Linked DNA regions of Tamandua tetradactyla. The protein of the gene in region 1 interacts with the protein of each later gene in a biochemical or structural test. Links are inferred from orthologs where the notes say so. Each region holds a gene or a part of one and is shown in the gene's direction. Other genes may lie near its edges.

What was found.
Region 2: the proteins of GJD2 (region 1) and LNX2 form a complex in vitro, tested with the Homo sapiens proteins (2 studies listed by BioGRID and IntAct, with this or other methods). The link is inferred for Tamandua tetradactyla from reciprocal best matches to the Homo sapiens genes GJD2 and LNX2.

What each region holds. Positions count from the first base shown.
Region 1 is NC_135340.1:47,825,022-47,828,922, reverse strand, and holds GJD2 (gap junction delta-2 protein), read left to right. Parts: upstream 1-1,296; coding exon 1,297-1,367; intron 1,368-2,331; coding exon 2,332-3,226; downstream 3,227-3,901. UniProt on the Homo sapiens protein: One gap junction consists of a cluster of closely packed pairs of transmembrane channels, the connexons, through which materials of low MW diffuse from one cell to a neighboring cell.
Region 2 is NC_135330.1:192,862,169-192,866,077, reverse strand, and holds the start of LNX2 (ligand of Numb protein X 2), read left to right. Parts: upstream 1-749; 5' UTR 750-768; intron 769-1,144; exon of another isoform or gene 1,145-1,343; intron 1,344-3,909.

The sequences.
Region 1 (3,901 bases):
GGAAAGGCGGGTGGGGTGAGATTGGTGAGCCGTTCTATTTCTGCCAGCACAGTACTGGGCCTTCTTAAATTCAGATTAGACAGCTCTTCCACCCCATCAGTCGAAAGAAAGGAACAAAAAAATACCGGAGCGTCTTGATACGCCTTGGGAAGGGAGACCTTTCGCCACCACCATCCCGCTTGCTCACCGTAGGCACCTGTTTAGGGTCACCCTTACACCTAGACCCACCTTAGAGGCAGCGTCACACCTACATCCATGCTTTAGCCTGAGTGGACGCCCATCGAGCCTTCCTCGCCCCAGCATCGGATCCACACAGGCAGGGAGCCGCCGCCCCGCTCTCAGTCATGCAGTCCTCTCCAAGCGAGCTTTAAGAGCGCCCTGTTTGTCACCCCTGCTCTCCCTGCCTCGAGCAGGCATCTCCATTTAGCGAGGGAATTCCAGAATGTGCGGGAGCAGACACCCTACGTCCTCGCGCCCCTCCCCACTCACCCGCGCGTCTGCTTCTGGCTCCCCCTCCTCCTGCCGGGGGCTGGCGGTCAGGTGAGGCTACCTGGGCGCCCCGACAAGCCCCAAGGGGCTCTGTGGTACTTGCTCTCGAAGCCGTCCCACTCCCCGCCGGGCCCCCAGGACTCTCGCCTCCTCTGCCCCCGCGCGCGTCCCCTGCCCCTCGGGCCCCGACGCAGCTCCAGCCGCACGCGGCGCTCCGCTCCCCTCCGCCGACCTGGCGTGACGCAGGCGGAGACTACTTAAGGGCGGATTAGAGGCGGCGGCCGCGGATTCCCGAGCCCGGCGGCCGGCTCCGCGCGCTCCGCCCCGGCTTCGCAGAAGCCAGCGCGGGAGCTCCAGGTGCCCACTAAAGTGGCAGGCGTGGGGGGCTAGTGCCCGCATCCTCCCCGCCGGCCTTTAGCCCCCGGGGGACGGCGGCGCCTAGAAACCTCTCTCCGGCGGGTGAGAGGTCGCGGACCCCGCGCGCTGCCAACCCCGCCCCGCCCCTCCCCGGGGCACCCTCGGGCTCCAGACCTGCCCCCGGACGGCGCCGAAGGTTGGTGCCGGCTCTCGGGACCGCGCCAGCTGCCCCAGCAGTCGGGACGCGCTTGGATTTCTTTCCCCGTTTTCCTCCTCTAAGTACAATAAAAGGGAGAGGGGATTGCTGGTTAAATTTTTTAAAATTTTGTTTACTTCTTTAATTGGGGGGCAATTCGCTCCCAGTCGGGAGGTGCGGCCCGGGGAGGGGCCAGAAGCGGGAACGTGCCCGGTGCTGCCCAGTCTTTGTCTGCTGCCTCCGGATGCACAGCGATGGGGGAATGGACCATCTTGGAGAGGCTGCTGGAAGCCGCCGTGCAGCAGCACTCCACTATGATCGGGAGGTAAGGGCGCTGAGCCGGCTGTCAGCGGGCCCTGTCGGGCGGCCCAGGGGGTGGAGTCCCTCCTCACGTCCCTGATCGAGCCCCATAGCCCCCAGCCCGTCCTCTGCCCTCTAGTCCTCTCTTCGTGCGCATGTGTCTTCGGCATTGAGGGATCGTCCCACGCGCAGGGATGACCCTCCTCTGGCTACTCTACACCATCTCCTCATCCTTTCCGTATGGAGCACCGCCAGGGACTCCCTCTTTCCCCATCAGAAAGGGATTTGCTGGCTCAGTCTTGGTCCCCCACTCTCCAGAGTCAGAGCCAATCTCCATATGTTTCCCTAAATGGAATCTCCCAGAAAGGTAGGTTGTATTTGGCAGAGAAGGGCAAATGGGGAGATGAATTTGCTCTTTGGAGCAGCTGTATCTTTTCCCAACAAATGTTTATTATGCTATACTTATTTGGCCATGAAAATTTCGGTGTCAAGAATCCACACACCCAATTACCTATGTATATATAATCATAGATATCTGTTTTTATAGAGCATTAGGTTCAATATTCATATTGAGAATAAAGTAAACACGTGGAATAGTTATATACACACACTGTGTAAATCTTGAAACATGCATTCTCTGTACAGGTGCTCCATGTGCATTTGCCATATCTAAGGTAAAGATGTGTTTTGTGCCTCTGTGTACATTCCAGATATATAGATGAACTCTGTCTGTTGTAAACACCGTGTCCAATATGTGGAGCTGTTTATACTTGGGATCCCTATGTAGTACTATGAAGTATTCCCAGTGTACCAGAAAGGAGAGAGACAGACCAGTTAGCCAGATTTCTATTTCAGTACCACTCATGGGCGGACAGCTCCCCAGTCAAGGAACCCAGTGAGCACCAGAGCAGAGAAGGGAGGAGCAGGGCTTTCCTAAACCAGTGATTCAGCCCATGAGAATTTCTCTCCCTCCCTCTTCCCCTGCTCAGGATCCTGTTGACCGTGGTGGTGATTTTCCGGATCCTCATTGTGGCCATTGTGGGGGAGACGGTGTACGATGATGAGCAGACCATGTTTGTGTGCAACACCCTGCAGCCGGGCTGTAACCAGGCCTGCTATGATCGCGCCTTTCCTATCTCCCACATACGTTACTGGGTCTTCCAGATTATTATGGTGTGTACCCCCAGTCTCTGCTTCATCACCTACTCTGTGCACCAGTCTGCCAAGCAACGAGAACGCCGCTACTCTACTGTCTTTCTAGCCCTGGATAGAGACCCCCCTGAGTCCATGGGGGGTCCTGGAGGAACTGGGAGTGGGGCCAGTGGCGGGGGCAAACGAGAAGACAAGAAGTTGCAAAATGCCATCGTTAATGGGGTGCTGCAGAACACAGAGAACACCAGCAAGGAGACAGAGCCAGATTGTCTAGAGGTCAAGGAGCTGGCGCCACACCCGTCAGGAATGCGCACTGCAGCGCGATCCAAGCTCCGACGGCAGGAGGGCATCTCCCGCTTCTATATTATCCAAGTGGTGTTCCGAAATGCCCTGGAGATTGGGTTTCTGGTAGGCCAGTACTTTCTCTATGGCTTCAGTGTCCCAGGGTTGTATGAGTGTGACCGCTACCCCTGCATCAAGGAGGTGGAATGCTATGTATCCCGGCCTACTGAGAAGACAGTCTTTCTAGTGTTCATGTTTGCTGTCAGTGGCATCTGTGTTGTGCTCAACCTGGCTGAACTCAACCACCTGGGATGGCGCAAGATCAAGTTGGCCGTGCGAGGGGCCCAGGCCAAGAGAAAGTCAGTCTATGAGATCCGTAACAAGGACCTGCCCAGGGTCAGTGTTCCCAATTTTGGCAGGACTCAGTCCAGTGACTCTGCTTATGTGTGAAGGTGTGGATTTTGAGAACGACTGGGGGATGATAAGCATCCCCCAGGCAGCTAACTGCTCAAGGATGGCTGTATCTGCCCTCATTTATGTGACTCTCACTGTTCAGATGTAGGATAAGGCTGGTTCAGATCTCTTGCATCAGTGGGAGAGGAGAGAAAGTAGAACCATTAACATACGTCACACCATTGGCCCTACAGAGACAATTGGTTAGAGTGATAAGATGGACGATTTGGACGTTTTGGGGGCTCTCTTCTTTTATGGCCCAGCGTGATCCTGATAGTAATGGGTTTGTGCAGCTACCAAGTAGGACTTAACCCTGCCGAGCTCTGAATACTGGTAAATGGTGTGAACCAAATACTTTTTTAATACAAAATTTGTGAACTATCTCAATGCATCCTTCATCCTGGGCTGCAGGACAAACATCCTTGAGGCATCCTTTATGTATTGTCCCTATCAGCATGCCCCTCCTCCTCGACCCAGGATAGCATATCAGCTTTTTTTTTTTTCTGAATCTGGCCTTACAGTGGACCTAATATGGTTCATCTGCAAGCTAGAGGGAATTACTTGGGGTGTTTTTGGAGTTTGACCATGACAGGTTTGCATTAGAGCCCCATCTGACTGGCCCTTAGTTTATTAAATCATAGGAATGTCTCAATATTTCCAATTTTCTAACTC
Region 2 (3,909 bases), on another chromosome or scaffold:
CGCCCCTGGCGCGCGAGGGCGGTGCCGCGAGCGGGTCCCGCTCACCTGGCGCTGCGCGGCCGGCCTCCGGCAGGGGCATGGGGAGAGCGCTGGGGAGAGCAGGCAGTCTGTCTGCTCCCGAGCTCGGCCTTCGGCACTTTCCCCCAGGTGCTGGCAAAGGGGGCGTGGCATTACTTGTCGCCCCCCAAACTCCCTACCTCCCTTGGGCGGAATCGGGCTTCCTCGGGCTCGCCGCTAGGCCATGGGGGGCGACGGTGCTCCCGGGACCCCAACCTCGAGTGGCTTTCAGGGGATGCCGAGACGAGCACTCAGGGTAGACCGAGGTCTCTATAGATCACGCCAAGCTAACCGATCAATGCACCTAACGAAAGGAGGGTTATGTGTGAAGGCGTGAATTTCACCACAGGACTCGAGGGTTTAAGACAGTATTTGTCTCATCGGGGATCTTGCAGCTGCACACCTTAACTGGGCTGAAGGACAGCGTCTGCCCTTATCTTTGGGGGGAGCGAGAGTTTGGGACTAAACTGCCCCCCCCCAATGCTCCCCATTCTTTCTCTCCTAGGGTTTTTTCTACTCCTAAAGTGCTTCTCCCCCTGCTTTGGACTTCTTTTCCCCTTTACCCTTTGGGTTTCTTAAACCTCCTCACCTGCGGAACCGCCCTCTCACCTTTGTTTCCGGGTTCCCCAGCCCCGCCTCGGCAGCCTTTCGCAGCCGGAACCGCTCTGGCCCTCCCTCTTCTTCGTACCTGTCTTCTCCGCATCCCCTCAGGTGCTTTTCTTCGTCACCAGCCCATTCTCCCTCCGACCCCAGCTGACCGCTCTCCTAATACACCTACATTTCCTCTTCTTGCGCCGCGCGTTCTCCCTGGCCCCTCCGACCCCCCGCCTTCCCCGCTCCCCCGGACCAGCGTCGCGGGCGCCCAGACCCTTCCCCTGCGCATCTTCCGCGGCGAGACTGGCGGGCGGCGGGGACAGCCGGGCGGGTGGGGGAGGGACGGCGGCCAGCGGCTCACTCTAACCCGGAGGTGCGGCCCGACCGGGCCTGCCCCCCGGGCTCGCGGATAGGCGGAGTCGTCGCCTGGCCCGCCCCTCCCCGCCGGGCTCCGCCGCCGATTGGCCCAGGTGCGTGTCGGGTTGGGCGTCTCTGCCCGCCGCTCGCCCGGGGGAAAGCAGCAGGGGCGGTTGAGAAGTGAAGTCTCGGCTGGACTTTGGTTCTCGCCAGGAAATCGGCGGTGGCTGCGGTTTGCGGCGGAGCGGAGCCCGGGTGGCCCCCCGCTCCCTCGGCGGCCGCGGCGGGCGGGCTGAGGCCCCGGGAGCCCAGCGCCGCGGGCAGGCGCCTTTCCCGTGAGTAACTTTGCTGACCCGTCCGCGGGGTCTGGGCAGCCTCAGGTGTGGGGGCCGGGGCGGGCCGGGGCGGGGGAGCGCCGTGCCGGGAGCGCCCCGCAGCCTCCCCCGAGGGCGGCACCGAGCCGGCCTCACTTCGACGGTAGTGTGCGGCGCTTTTGATGGTTGGGGCCGCCGCCAGGCAGGCGCTTTGGGGCTTCGGCCACCGTGTTACTGATCTGCGTCTTTTGCTTTTTTGGTGAGGGAAGAGGGGACCTGAGTTTTATCCTTCTCGTGTTTGTGTGTGTGTGTGTGGTGAAATGTGGGGCACCAGCTGCCCCCACAACCCATCGCTTGCCCCTGGGTAGGCATGAGGACAGCGCTTCCCCTCCGCCCAGCCTGTTGCCTGTTCCCCCGCCTTCCCCTTCGGGCTGCAAAGGCTGGGAGAGAGGTTTCACGTCTTCGAGGTGGTGATTTCAGAGGACGGATCTTGATTTGGAAGCAGTTCCACCCAAAGCACGAGTCAGGAAATGCATCACTCGTTTTTTCAAAGCTTTATGCCACGTTTTCAACCAAGGGTTTTTGACTTACATGGAGTGTGTCTTCTGATATTTTAGTTTATATTTAAGATTGTTGGCCCAGATGTTCGTACCTCCCAGGAGCTAAAGAAAACTCATGCCTGGAGCTTAACTGTATAGTTTTTTAAAATTATTTTTTAATTACAGAAATCAGAAACTAAGTTGAGTCAAGGCAGTGGCAGCGCAGGAGGTGAAAACAGTTGTTGGCTCCCGTTCATTGAAACTGCCTTCTCTCTACGAATTTCACATTCTTACAGTAGAAGTACTTAGATGTAAATTGGCCTTCCTCCCAGGACAGATTTTGACTTTTCTTTTGGATGCACTCTTTCCAAGCACCAATGAAGCTGGATCTCAGTAGATCGATGTTATTTATTCTGGTAGATTTGATTCCCATCCCTAGGCCTCCTTTGGAAAGTGTACTTTGGCAGGTAAAGAAGGAAGTGGGAAATCTAGTATCACTTTGGCCTGTCAAAGCTTTGTTGAACCATAAATAACAAAGTTTTTTTCCTTTTTAGCCTGCCCAAGTCGCGCATGTGAGTTTTCCCATAGGGGTAGAATGTAGGCCAAATCCAGCCAAGGTAGAATAATTCTACCTTTAATTCATTCCACTTGTGTGCTATCATTCCTAATTCTGTATCTCGTTCCTTTCCATTTCTCAAGTTTTAAATTTTTCATGGTTGATTCATTTGTCAAAGAATAGTGTGCCTATTGCCTGTCAGATACTGACCACAAACAAAGTTTGGTCCTTGCCCTGAGGTTGCTCCTAGTTTTGGAAGCAAATAACATACCTCGAGTCCACTAGGGCCCTGAAAATAAGTTGAACTAGCTGCTATAGAAACATAAAAGCGGGAGGAAATGCCACCTGTAGTTTGTCAGGGAAGACTTCACCTAGGGTGCTTACCTATCTTTTGAGAGTGGGATTTTGCTAGTATATTCTAGGCAGAGGTACTTAAAACCTATAGGCCACTTGGACATGCAAATCTCTTTAGGGCATTGCACCTGAGACCTGCATATCCTTAGTCTGACTGAAGGACAGACAGGACCTGTCTGGAATTGGAGTTGTCACAGGCTTAGTTGTTACTCATTTAGGAGTACAGAGCACTTTACCTTGCTAACAGGAGGCACTCGCTATTTATTGGACTGATTTTTCACAGAAACGTGAAGGGTTTTGTCAACCACGTTAAGAAATTTGGACTTTATTCTGTCAGTGATATGGAGCTGCTTATTTTCTGTGGAGAATGTCGTGATAACATTTGCATTCCTGACAGATGTCTCCGCAGTAGTCTGAAGGATGGTGAGGGTCCAGATGGGAAGTAGGGAAACAGAGTGGGAGGCTGCCATAACATAGAGGTTAAATGCAGTGATTTGAAACCCGCATTGCTTGGGTTTGAATCCTGGCTCTCTCACTAACTCTCAGTTTCTTATTCTCCAAGTTTGGAGAATAAAACTTGATAGAACATGTGCATTGCTTAGAAAAGTGCTTGGCACCTAGCAGGCACTTAGTAAATGCTTGTTGTTATTCCAGATGAAGGCAGTGGCTGTGGGGATGATGTGGGATTTAGGAGGTTCTAAGTGGATGGACTTGTAAGTGACTGGATATGATTAATGAAAGAAGGAGGATTCCTAGCCATTTTAACTTGAGGCGTTGGAGTGTACTGGTTAAGCTGGCTGTAGGAGTCAGAACAGGGTTAGAATTCCAATTCTACCACTTACCACCTGAATTATCCTGATTTAGCTTTGGTTTCCTAATATCTAGGAAATGATCATAGCACCTTAACTAGTACGGTGTGCGGATCAAATGAAATTACACATATAATTCTCTTGGCAGAGGGCCTAGCACATTCTGAGTGCTCAATAAATATTAGTTGTTCCTTCAGTGATGATGACATTAATGAGCTAATGGAATGTTGGAGGATATGAGAAGAAACAGTTAACAATTGATGGTAGGGGTAGGGAAGGGAGCAGGTGTGGTAAGCTTGATTGAAGATTTGGGGGAAGAGGAGGCAGTG